2 linked regions of the Mus musculus genome follow. Each later gene encodes a partner of the first gene's protein in a complex. Links are inferred from orthologs where the notes say so. Each region holds a gene or a part of one and is shown on either strand. Other genes may lie near its edges.

Region 1 (3,814 bases):
GTAATTTATAGCCAAAGGAGAAAATATATGAGAAGAATCAAGGAAAGAACAATGAGCTACCAAGGCAAGTGACACAGTTGTCCTGGTGAGCAGAAACAAAGACGCAGGGAACAGAAGCTACCTCAGAAACAACTTGTAGGCTTTCAAGGCCCGGGACAAGTATGGTGGCCAGGCAATCCTGGTGCAGATCAGGGTTTTATCCCTTCCTCTGTAACCCAGGGAGTCACCTCATCTCCACTACTTTCCTTCCTATTCTCCTCTCCATCTTTCCCTTCCTAGCCTCTTCTGCCTCCCTTCCCTCCCCTCTTCTCCCTTCTCTTCAACCTCCATCTTTTCCATATACCAAACAACATTTTAATTGCCTTCTTCATATCTTTCCTTGGACTTATTATGTACTTAAACCAATCTATCACTTTATTTTCCTCCATGAGCCGGATCTCTCTAAGCTTCTCTTTCCTGTCACTAAACAGGCTTAATGTATGTAGTAGTTTTGAAGCATTTGCCATTACCGTCCACAGTTGATCATGGGACTAGTACATGATCTAGGCTATTAATACATGAATAGTTCATCTTGAATGTGTGTGTCATAATGCTGTTTCATAAAGGTGTATGAAAAGTTTTAAAGTCCTTTTAAACTCCCTCTAGAAAAAAGAACAGAAACCATTCACACCAGCTTCACCTGTGCAGTCCACACCGAGCAAGCCATCTGACAAGGTATGGAGCCAAAAGGCACTTCATCATCAAACATTTATCTCCTGTTGCCTGTCTCAGCCTGATTTCTCGTTGTTTTAAAGGAAAAATGTAATGACTTAAAATTTAAAAAGTTATGACTGAGTTGACAGTGTGGCCATCACTCTGTATTCGTACCATTTTATGGTACGAGCCTCTATTTTGAAAATTCTAGTTTTATTATACCAAGTTCAGTTATAGCTTCTCTTCTGGAAATATGTGTTTGTTAGCAACGTGCAAGGTTTCTTGAGGCTTGGCAAGTCTCTTGGTTTTAGAGTGGGGACATCAAGGGTTGTCTAAGTATTCTGTATTACCTCTCTATTGGTAAAGAATATAAGGTACTTTAAAAAAAAATCTATCCCCTCTTCCACAAGAAACCACAATAATAATAAGAAGGGGAAGAGTAGCCAAAGCAAATGTGCCCTAGTTTCTGTTACACCTATCAGTAATCCGCTAAATCCTAAAACTATTGTAGGATTGTGGTAATTCTTTTTTTTTTATTATTACATATTTTCCTCAATTACATTTCCAATGCTATCCCAAAAGTCCCCCATACCCTCCCCAACCCACTTCCCTACCCACCCATTCCCATTTTTTTTGGCCCTGGCGTTCCCCTGTACTGGGGCATATACAGTGTGGTAATTCTTAAAGGAAACCGTCAGACATATTCAGTGACACTTTGACGTGTGGAGTAAGTGCCGTACAGGTCATAAGTCAGGAACATACAGAGTCTGTGCTATTGGAAACAGCAGAAAAGATGCCCAAGGTGAGAAGACAGTGGCTGTTTTCCATGTTAGGAGCCTGTTCCGAGTGAGCTATCCAAAACTACAGAATAAGGTGACAGCAACTTCTCATTAATATGTTAAGTATATGTTGGCAAACTAAACTGGCAATTCATATGTCTTTAGGGTTGACCTCACATAATATCTCTTCAGGGTTGTCTTTGAGCAAGTCAATGAACAACAACAATGTTCATTAAAGAATGGAAAAATACAAGAATTAAAAAAAAAAACAATAGCTTCTTTTTGAAGGAAGTACTGTCTACAGATTTTGCTAGAATGAAACTATGGGTGATACTAAAAAGCAACAAGTGCCACATGGCTAATCCTTGCATTTTTTTTGTCTTTTTCCTCTTGACTGTCAGTACAGTGGTTTGGTTGCTTTTGTGAACTACTACATTTGTTGCTGTAGTTAATAATGTGGAATTTTTTTAAATGGTGATCTTTACCTGAATGTGGCTTTTTATTTTTCCAATTGAGAATTTCTTCATATTAAAAATGAAATACAGTTTAACTATTTTTGAACTTGGAAAAGTTACAGTATTTGATACATTTTAGTAGTTACAAATCACGGGAAATATATCTACAAAATAACATATCTTATCTCTTCTATTTCTAGTCAGGCATGGATGCTGCCTTGGATGACCTGATAGACACCTTAGGTGGACATGAAGATACTAACAGAGATGATCCACCATATACTGGACCAGTAGTTTTGGTATGTGTTGGATGACAGTCAGCATTCATTGTTAATGGGGAGGAAAGCAAATAAACCTATGGTATCAAGCATAGGACTGCATGTCATGTTCTGTTGATTATGTAGACGCAGGATGATGTCAGAATTGATATTAGAAACAAAAACTCGGGGGTGAGGGTGGAAATGGTCTGCTTTGTGACACTACACAGTTGCTATGATTCAGAATATGTCTGACAATGCTAAACTGGAACAGCTGACTCGGTCAGAACATCTAGTTTTCTGTCCTTTAGATTTGACGCAGTGGACTTGAACTTATTTTGAGTTTTAGATCCTTATGATCCTAAGTTAATCTATTCTTCATTTCCAAGGAACAATGTAATTTTTTTTCTGGTGTTAAAGATGTTGTAGCATAGATGAAAACATTTTCAACAGTTGCCATTAAAGTTGTTTCTATAGTTTACAATAAATAGAAAAACAGAGACAAAGACAACTCAGTAGAAAATTAAGAGAAAGTTGCTTGCACAATGAGCAAATAGTGTAAGGGTCTACCAGGGAATTAGGAAAATAGCATAAAGCATGGCGTGGTGCCTTTGGCTCAACCAGACTGCCAAAACTTTAAGAATCTGACAGGTCAATTTAGGCATTAGGTTCTAAAGAGGTGTTCCGTTCAGTCACAAACCCCACCAGCGAGACTTTGGAAATCTTGCCCCTGTGTACAGCGAAGGATATGGCAGAACACTTGAGACCAATGTGATCAATAGAAAATAGGAATGTGATCAATAGAAAATAGGGAGCTTTCAGTGCTTTCTGAAAGGAAAATGGCTTACTTATGTATCTACATGGATCTATTACAAAGCCATGATTTTGAATAAAATAAACAAGAGCAACAAAATGATACTATTTATATAGCTTTTGAAAACATGCAAAGTTATAATATATTTTGCTTATACATTTCTACATTTGCAATATTTTTAAATATTAAAATATTCTCAGCCGGGTGGTGGTGGTGCACGCCTTTAATCTCAGCACTTGGGAGGCAGAGGCAGGAGGATTTCTGAGTTCGAGGCCAGCCTGGTCTACAAAGTGAGTTCCAGGACAGCCAGGACTACACAGAGAAACCCTGTCTTGAAAACAACAACAACAAAAAAAATATATATATATACACACATATATATATAGTCTCCTCTTCAGCTTGAATTCAGTGATAAAATTACATGTACCACAGTATTAAAAATAAACCACAGGATAAATGAAAATATTTTTTAAAGTTACAAAGCATTTACTTCTACAGTTTATGAAAAATAAAAAAATACTGAGAAAAGGTAATTCAATAGAAAATGATAGAGATGATAGACTTAAAGTGCAGATGCTATCTCTAAAGCTAATTAAATAATTGTTAGTATGCAAGTAGAACTTTAAGGATAGATTTTAGCTTCTAAATGATTTATTTTCATCTCAATAGATACAGAAAAATCAATACTGGAATAGTACTTTGGCTTCACTTAATAGTCTCATTAGATTAACTGTATAATATGTCTTTATGTATGATTTTCTTCCAGGACCCAATGTATTCTACCTACCTTGAGGCACTGGGTATAAAAGAAGGGAC
Region 2 (4,582 bases), on another chromosome or scaffold:
CGTTGTTTTGAGATAAGACCCTGTGGTGTAGCTCGCCTGCCTGAGTCTTCTGAGGCCTGGGCATGTGTCATCATGTTTACTGTTGGTCTGAGGGCATGAAGCTGGCAGCCTCTTCAAGCCTTGGGTGGATGTGAGGACAAAGAGGTCTTCCCAAATGAGAGATGTCTGAGCTCTGGTCCAAAGTGGAGGACACAGACAGTCAAGTCCAAACACAGGAGTATTTGTAGGCAGAGGACAGGGCTTATGCCAGCGAGTTGAGCCTGAGGTCAGACTGCTCAGTGTGGCAGGGAGGGGTGTGGCAGAGAGGGAATCCACATTAGTCATCACCAAATGATTTATCCGCTAAGGCTTAGGCCTGGGTCGCCACCCTCTGTGCTCCCGCCTTTTAGAGTTTCCGGTTTCGACAGGTTAAATCTTGCTTCACACACACACACACACACACACACACACACACACACACACACACACACACAGGTTTGAGCAATGATTACCTGGCCTGGTCCCAGCAAGCCCTTAGGTGGCGTTAGTGCAATTACGGTCTTGTCTGCTGAGATCTTATTTGACTGATTATCATATTAAGTTATCGGAGATTCTTTGAACAGGTAAAGCAGACTGGTTGTTTAACCTCAGTTTACTTATACATAGAATGGGGACAATAACAGACCTATCCCACAGGCCTGCTTCGAGGACACACAACCTAGTGAGTGGAGAGTATTTAGGGACCGGCAGGTATTTGTCGATGTTGTTTAAGGATGAGCAAGAGTAAACGAGCTAAGGGAACCAGGTGAGCTCCCAGCTGAGGGAACAACATGGCGACATAGGGACTAACAGAAGAGCTGCCATTTACTATGTATTTATCACTTAATTCTGATAGGGGCTTACCCTAGTGTCCTCTAGGGTCTCATGTAGCCCAAGCCGGTCACAAACTTGTTATGTACTGAGAATGGCTGCCTGCCCTCACCTCCCAGTGCTGGTTTTACAGGTGTGTGTCATCACGCCTGGCTATGTTCCCGCCTTACACATGAGGAGGTCATTACTCAGAGACACCAGGTCACTGTTTTAGGGATGAGCAATAAAGACTCAAACCGAGGTTTATATAGTTCCTAGGGAGTGGCCAGACAGCCAGACTAGAAGCCCAACAGCGACCTGGGTGAGAGGCACAAACTGATGGTAAACTTAAGATGTAGATTCCTAGCATTCGGGAAACAGAAGCAGGAGGATTGTTTCAAGTTCGAGGTTAGCTAGGGCTTTAGGTCATCATTTAGAGGATGTTTAACAAACCTCTGTCTCAAAGTGCACAATGAATGAATGAATGAATGACAACTGAAGTCCTTTTTTGCAACTATATACTGCAACGGTGACCGGGTACCCTGTATCTAGTTCCTGGAGGCTCCAGTACCTGGGCGTTAGAATAATTTATTCGTACTCAAAGCTATTTAATCTGGACAGCGTTGAATTTCCAGCAGTGTGTGTATGGGGACGGATGAGCTAAGCAGAGACTTGCAACCATAACCCTCCCGCGCAGGCGCAGTCTGCAATGGAGGCTCTAGGACCGCGCAGACGACGGCTGGGTGGCGGCAGGGTCTAACCCGGAGTAGCTGCCTGAGTCACCGGCCCCGCCCTCCCGAACCGGACACAGCGGAGGCCCTGCAGCAGGCGAGCAAGACCGCGGACCGCCGGATCCGTAAGTGAGACGGGACACTCCAGTCCAGCACCCCTGCACCCTGTAGATCCGGAATCCGTAGTCCTCAGATCTGGCGAGACCCTAAAGTCTTGGCCCTTGGGGGGTCCTAGGACCGGTGTTCTCAGATTCGAACCATCGGGCCTGTCAGCCCCTCCAGAACACTCCTTACCATCCCGGATCTGACGACCAAAAAATATAAGCCCAAAGATCAGAGAGATACCCGGAAATTATTTTGGGCGTCTAGAACCACAATCCGAGATCGTGGTTCCCATTTGCGGTGGGAAGAACTCCGTTATCCAGGATCCTCCGGGCGCACAGCCATAATTTTTGGCCGGAGCCCACAGATCCCGTAGTGACAGTGTAGTCCCTCTGTCGAGAGTATCTGAATGTCTTAATCCACATTAGGAACTTCCTGGTCAGCCCTGGGTCATCCCTACCCTGAGCTTAATTTTGGAAGGCCTGGATCTGAGACACGTTCGGTTTTACACACCTTAGGGTTTCTACACGAGAATCCCCTGTTTTCCCGCTGCCTCAAGACAGGGTAAAGCAGGCAGGCGCTGTAGCCGAGGCTGGCCTTGAACTGGTCCTCCAGCCTCAGCCTCCCAATTTCTGGGATTACAGTAGAGCGCTACCACGCACGCCCAGCTGTACCCCTGTCCTCATGCCTATATATATGCAGTCAAGCCTGGGCCAGGGTACTTTCTAGACCCTAGGAGGTTTCACATCTCCTATCACCTGTCCAGACCCCTAGCTAGAGGCTCTGTCCCCATCTCGAGGCCTTAGTTTCCTCCCCAATCTAGTTGCCGGAAATGCTTGCTTTTTTTTTTTTTTTTTTTTTTTTTTTTGCGGGAAGGGCTGGGCTCCTGGCAAGGCCACTACCCGACCCACCCCTTTTACTTTACAGGACTCAGCTGCGATCATGTTCTTGGTGAATTCGTTCTTGAAGGGCGGCGGTGGCGGTGGGGGAGGCGGGGGTCTGGGCGGGGGCCTGGGGAATGTGCTCGGAGGCCTGATCAGCGGAGCTGCTGGCGGCGGCGGCGGTGGCGGTGGAGGCATGGGACTGGGAGGAGGTGGCGGAGGCGGTGGAACTGCCATGCGCATCCTGGGCGGAGTCATTAGCGCCATCAGGTAAGGCGGGGCCTGAAGGGGCGGGGCGGGCCAAATAATAAAGACTCACTTAGAGTCCGACCTGAGAATTCTTAATTAGTCTGGGCTGATCCATACCGGAAAACTGGCCCTAAGGGGATTCTAGCGAGGCTGGTGTCACTTTTTAGTACCAGGATTAGTAAACCTGCTTCTGTGGGTCAACAAATAGGATGCAGTTTCTTGGGGATAGGGGCTCTTCTGTGTTTGGGGAAGGTGCAATTCTATAGGATTGTATCCAGCCTTCACTGGGGGCGCAGCCAGTGGATCTAAGGCTGTCCATGGCTTAAGATTTGAGCGAGGTGGAGCTTGCTGTTTTAGGAGAGATCAGAGTCCCCAAAGAAGAAATGGTCCAGAGAAGGTTGTGTGGGGTCTGGAGCTGATTGGTTTAGTGGGTAAAAATCCTTTGCTGGGGTTAGAACAGGTGGCTGGCACCTATATCGTTGGTGATCCAAGCACTGATCCCTGGGAGGAGTAGGGGCTGATGGGGGGCGGGAGAGGTAGACGTTAGGCAGTTAGATAATCTGCAAAAGGAGCGATGGAGTAAGACTCTGGACAACTGAACCCGAGGAAGATGAGGCCTAGGAAAGCTGGTGCAGACAGACCCCCTTGTGAAGTGAGTTCTTCAAGGGGCGGGCCCTGCTAAGTTTGTTAAGGTTTTCAGGATTTTGATTGGGGCTAAGATGCTTCTGACATTGTGATTGGTGGGTGTTCCTGGGCAAGGAAAGGATTCTTCCGTGGGGTGGGCCCTTGGGAGGTGGGAGAGGTTGGCCCGATGGAGGGAAAGGAGGGGTCAGACCATTCTCTTGATTGGACCAGGTCAGGACGATGAGGTAGACGAGGGGAGGAGGGAACCCCTTAAGGAAGAGGAGGGCTGGAGTTTCAGGGGTTGGCTGACCGTTCTGCCGCCCGTTGGAGGCTCTGCCCCCATGCGCTAACTCAGCCCCCTTGTCTCCCCTCAGCGAGGCTGCTGCGCAGTACAACCCGGAGCCTCCGGTAAGCAGACCTAGAGACCCTTCCTCCTCAGGCCTGTTGCCCGCCTCATCTTCCCCATTCCTATGAATAAGGCTCCCCCTCCTTCCTTAGGAAACCCCCTGCCGTTAATAATGTCATTTTTTTGAGGGCCCCTAAGCTAAACCCTGGGTCTCAGCCACGCCTACTTGCTACACCTAATTCAGGTTCCCTGGCCCTCAGACTGCCCAGCCCTCTCTGACTTTTCCCTGGGACACTTGTTTCTCCATCTCTGTTCTGAGATCGCCTCTCTCTGCAGCCTCCACGTAGTCATTACTCCAATATTGAGGCCAACGAGAGTGAAGAAGTCCGTCAGTTCAGGAAACTTTTTGTCCAGCTGGCTGGAGACGTAAGTATCCTGCCTGACCGCTTGACTCTGTCACTTGACTGTGACAACCCGGAAGTTCCCATCCCGGTTTATGGTCTCCAGACCCTTTCCATCTCCCTTGAACTGTACTTACCTTCTGCCGTCAGGACATGGAGGTCAGCGCCACAGAACTCATGAATATCCTCAACAAGGTCGTGACCCGACGTGAGTGACCAGGGTCAGAGTGTGGTGAAGGTTTAGAGGCATATGGGCTGGGATGGTCTCTGACCTCTGACCTTCAACCTGTTCCCCCCTCAGACCCGGATCTGAAAACTGATGGTTTTGGCATTGACACTTGTCGGAGCATGGTGGCCGTCATGGATGTATCCTTTTGGGGCCAGCCTGGAGAATGCCTTGGGTGAAGAGGGTCTTCTGGG

What was found.
Region 2: the proteins of Cast (region 1) and Capns1 are in contact, whole or in part, in a crystal structure (PDB 3BOW), measured with the Rattus norvegicus proteins. The link is inferred for Mus musculus from reciprocal best matches to the Homo sapiens genes CAST and CAPNS1. Residues at the interface, in NP_445747.2 of Rattus norvegicus: Pro652, Ile653, Asp654, Ala655, Leu656, Ser657, Asp659, Leu660, Asp661; in NP_058814.1 of Rattus norvegicus: Phe103, Leu106, Gln109, Leu110, Ile125, Lys128, Val129, Arg132, His133, Leu136, Phe166, Trp170, Lys174, Gln177, Lys181.

Annotation. Positions count from the first base shown.
Region 1 is NC_000079.6:74,738,249-74,742,062, reverse strand, and holds part of Cast (calpastatin), read left to right. Parts: intron 1-645; coding exon 646-714; intron 715-2,127; coding exon 2,128-2,226; intron 2,227-3,764; coding exon 3,765-3,814.
Region 2 is NC_000073.6:30,192,108-30,196,689, reverse strand, and holds the start of Capns1 (calpain small subunit 1), read left to right. Parts: upstream 1-1,536; 5' UTR 1,537-1,684; intron 1,685-2,588; 5' UTR 2,589-2,603; coding exon 2,604-2,812; intron 2,813-2,941; exon of another isoform or gene 2,942-3,443; intron 3,444-3,489; exon of another isoform or gene 3,490-3,602; coding exon of another isoform or gene 3,603-3,646; intron 3,647-3,789; coding exon 3,790-3,823; intron 3,824-4,097; coding exon 4,098-4,187; intron 4,188-4,312; coding exon 4,313-4,370; intron 4,371-4,463; coding exon 4,464-4,528; intron 4,529-4,582. UniProt on the Homo sapiens protein: Regulatory subunit of the calcium-regulated non-lysosomal thiol-protease which catalyzes limited proteolysis of substrates involved in cytoskeletal remodeling and signal transduction. Essential for embryonic development.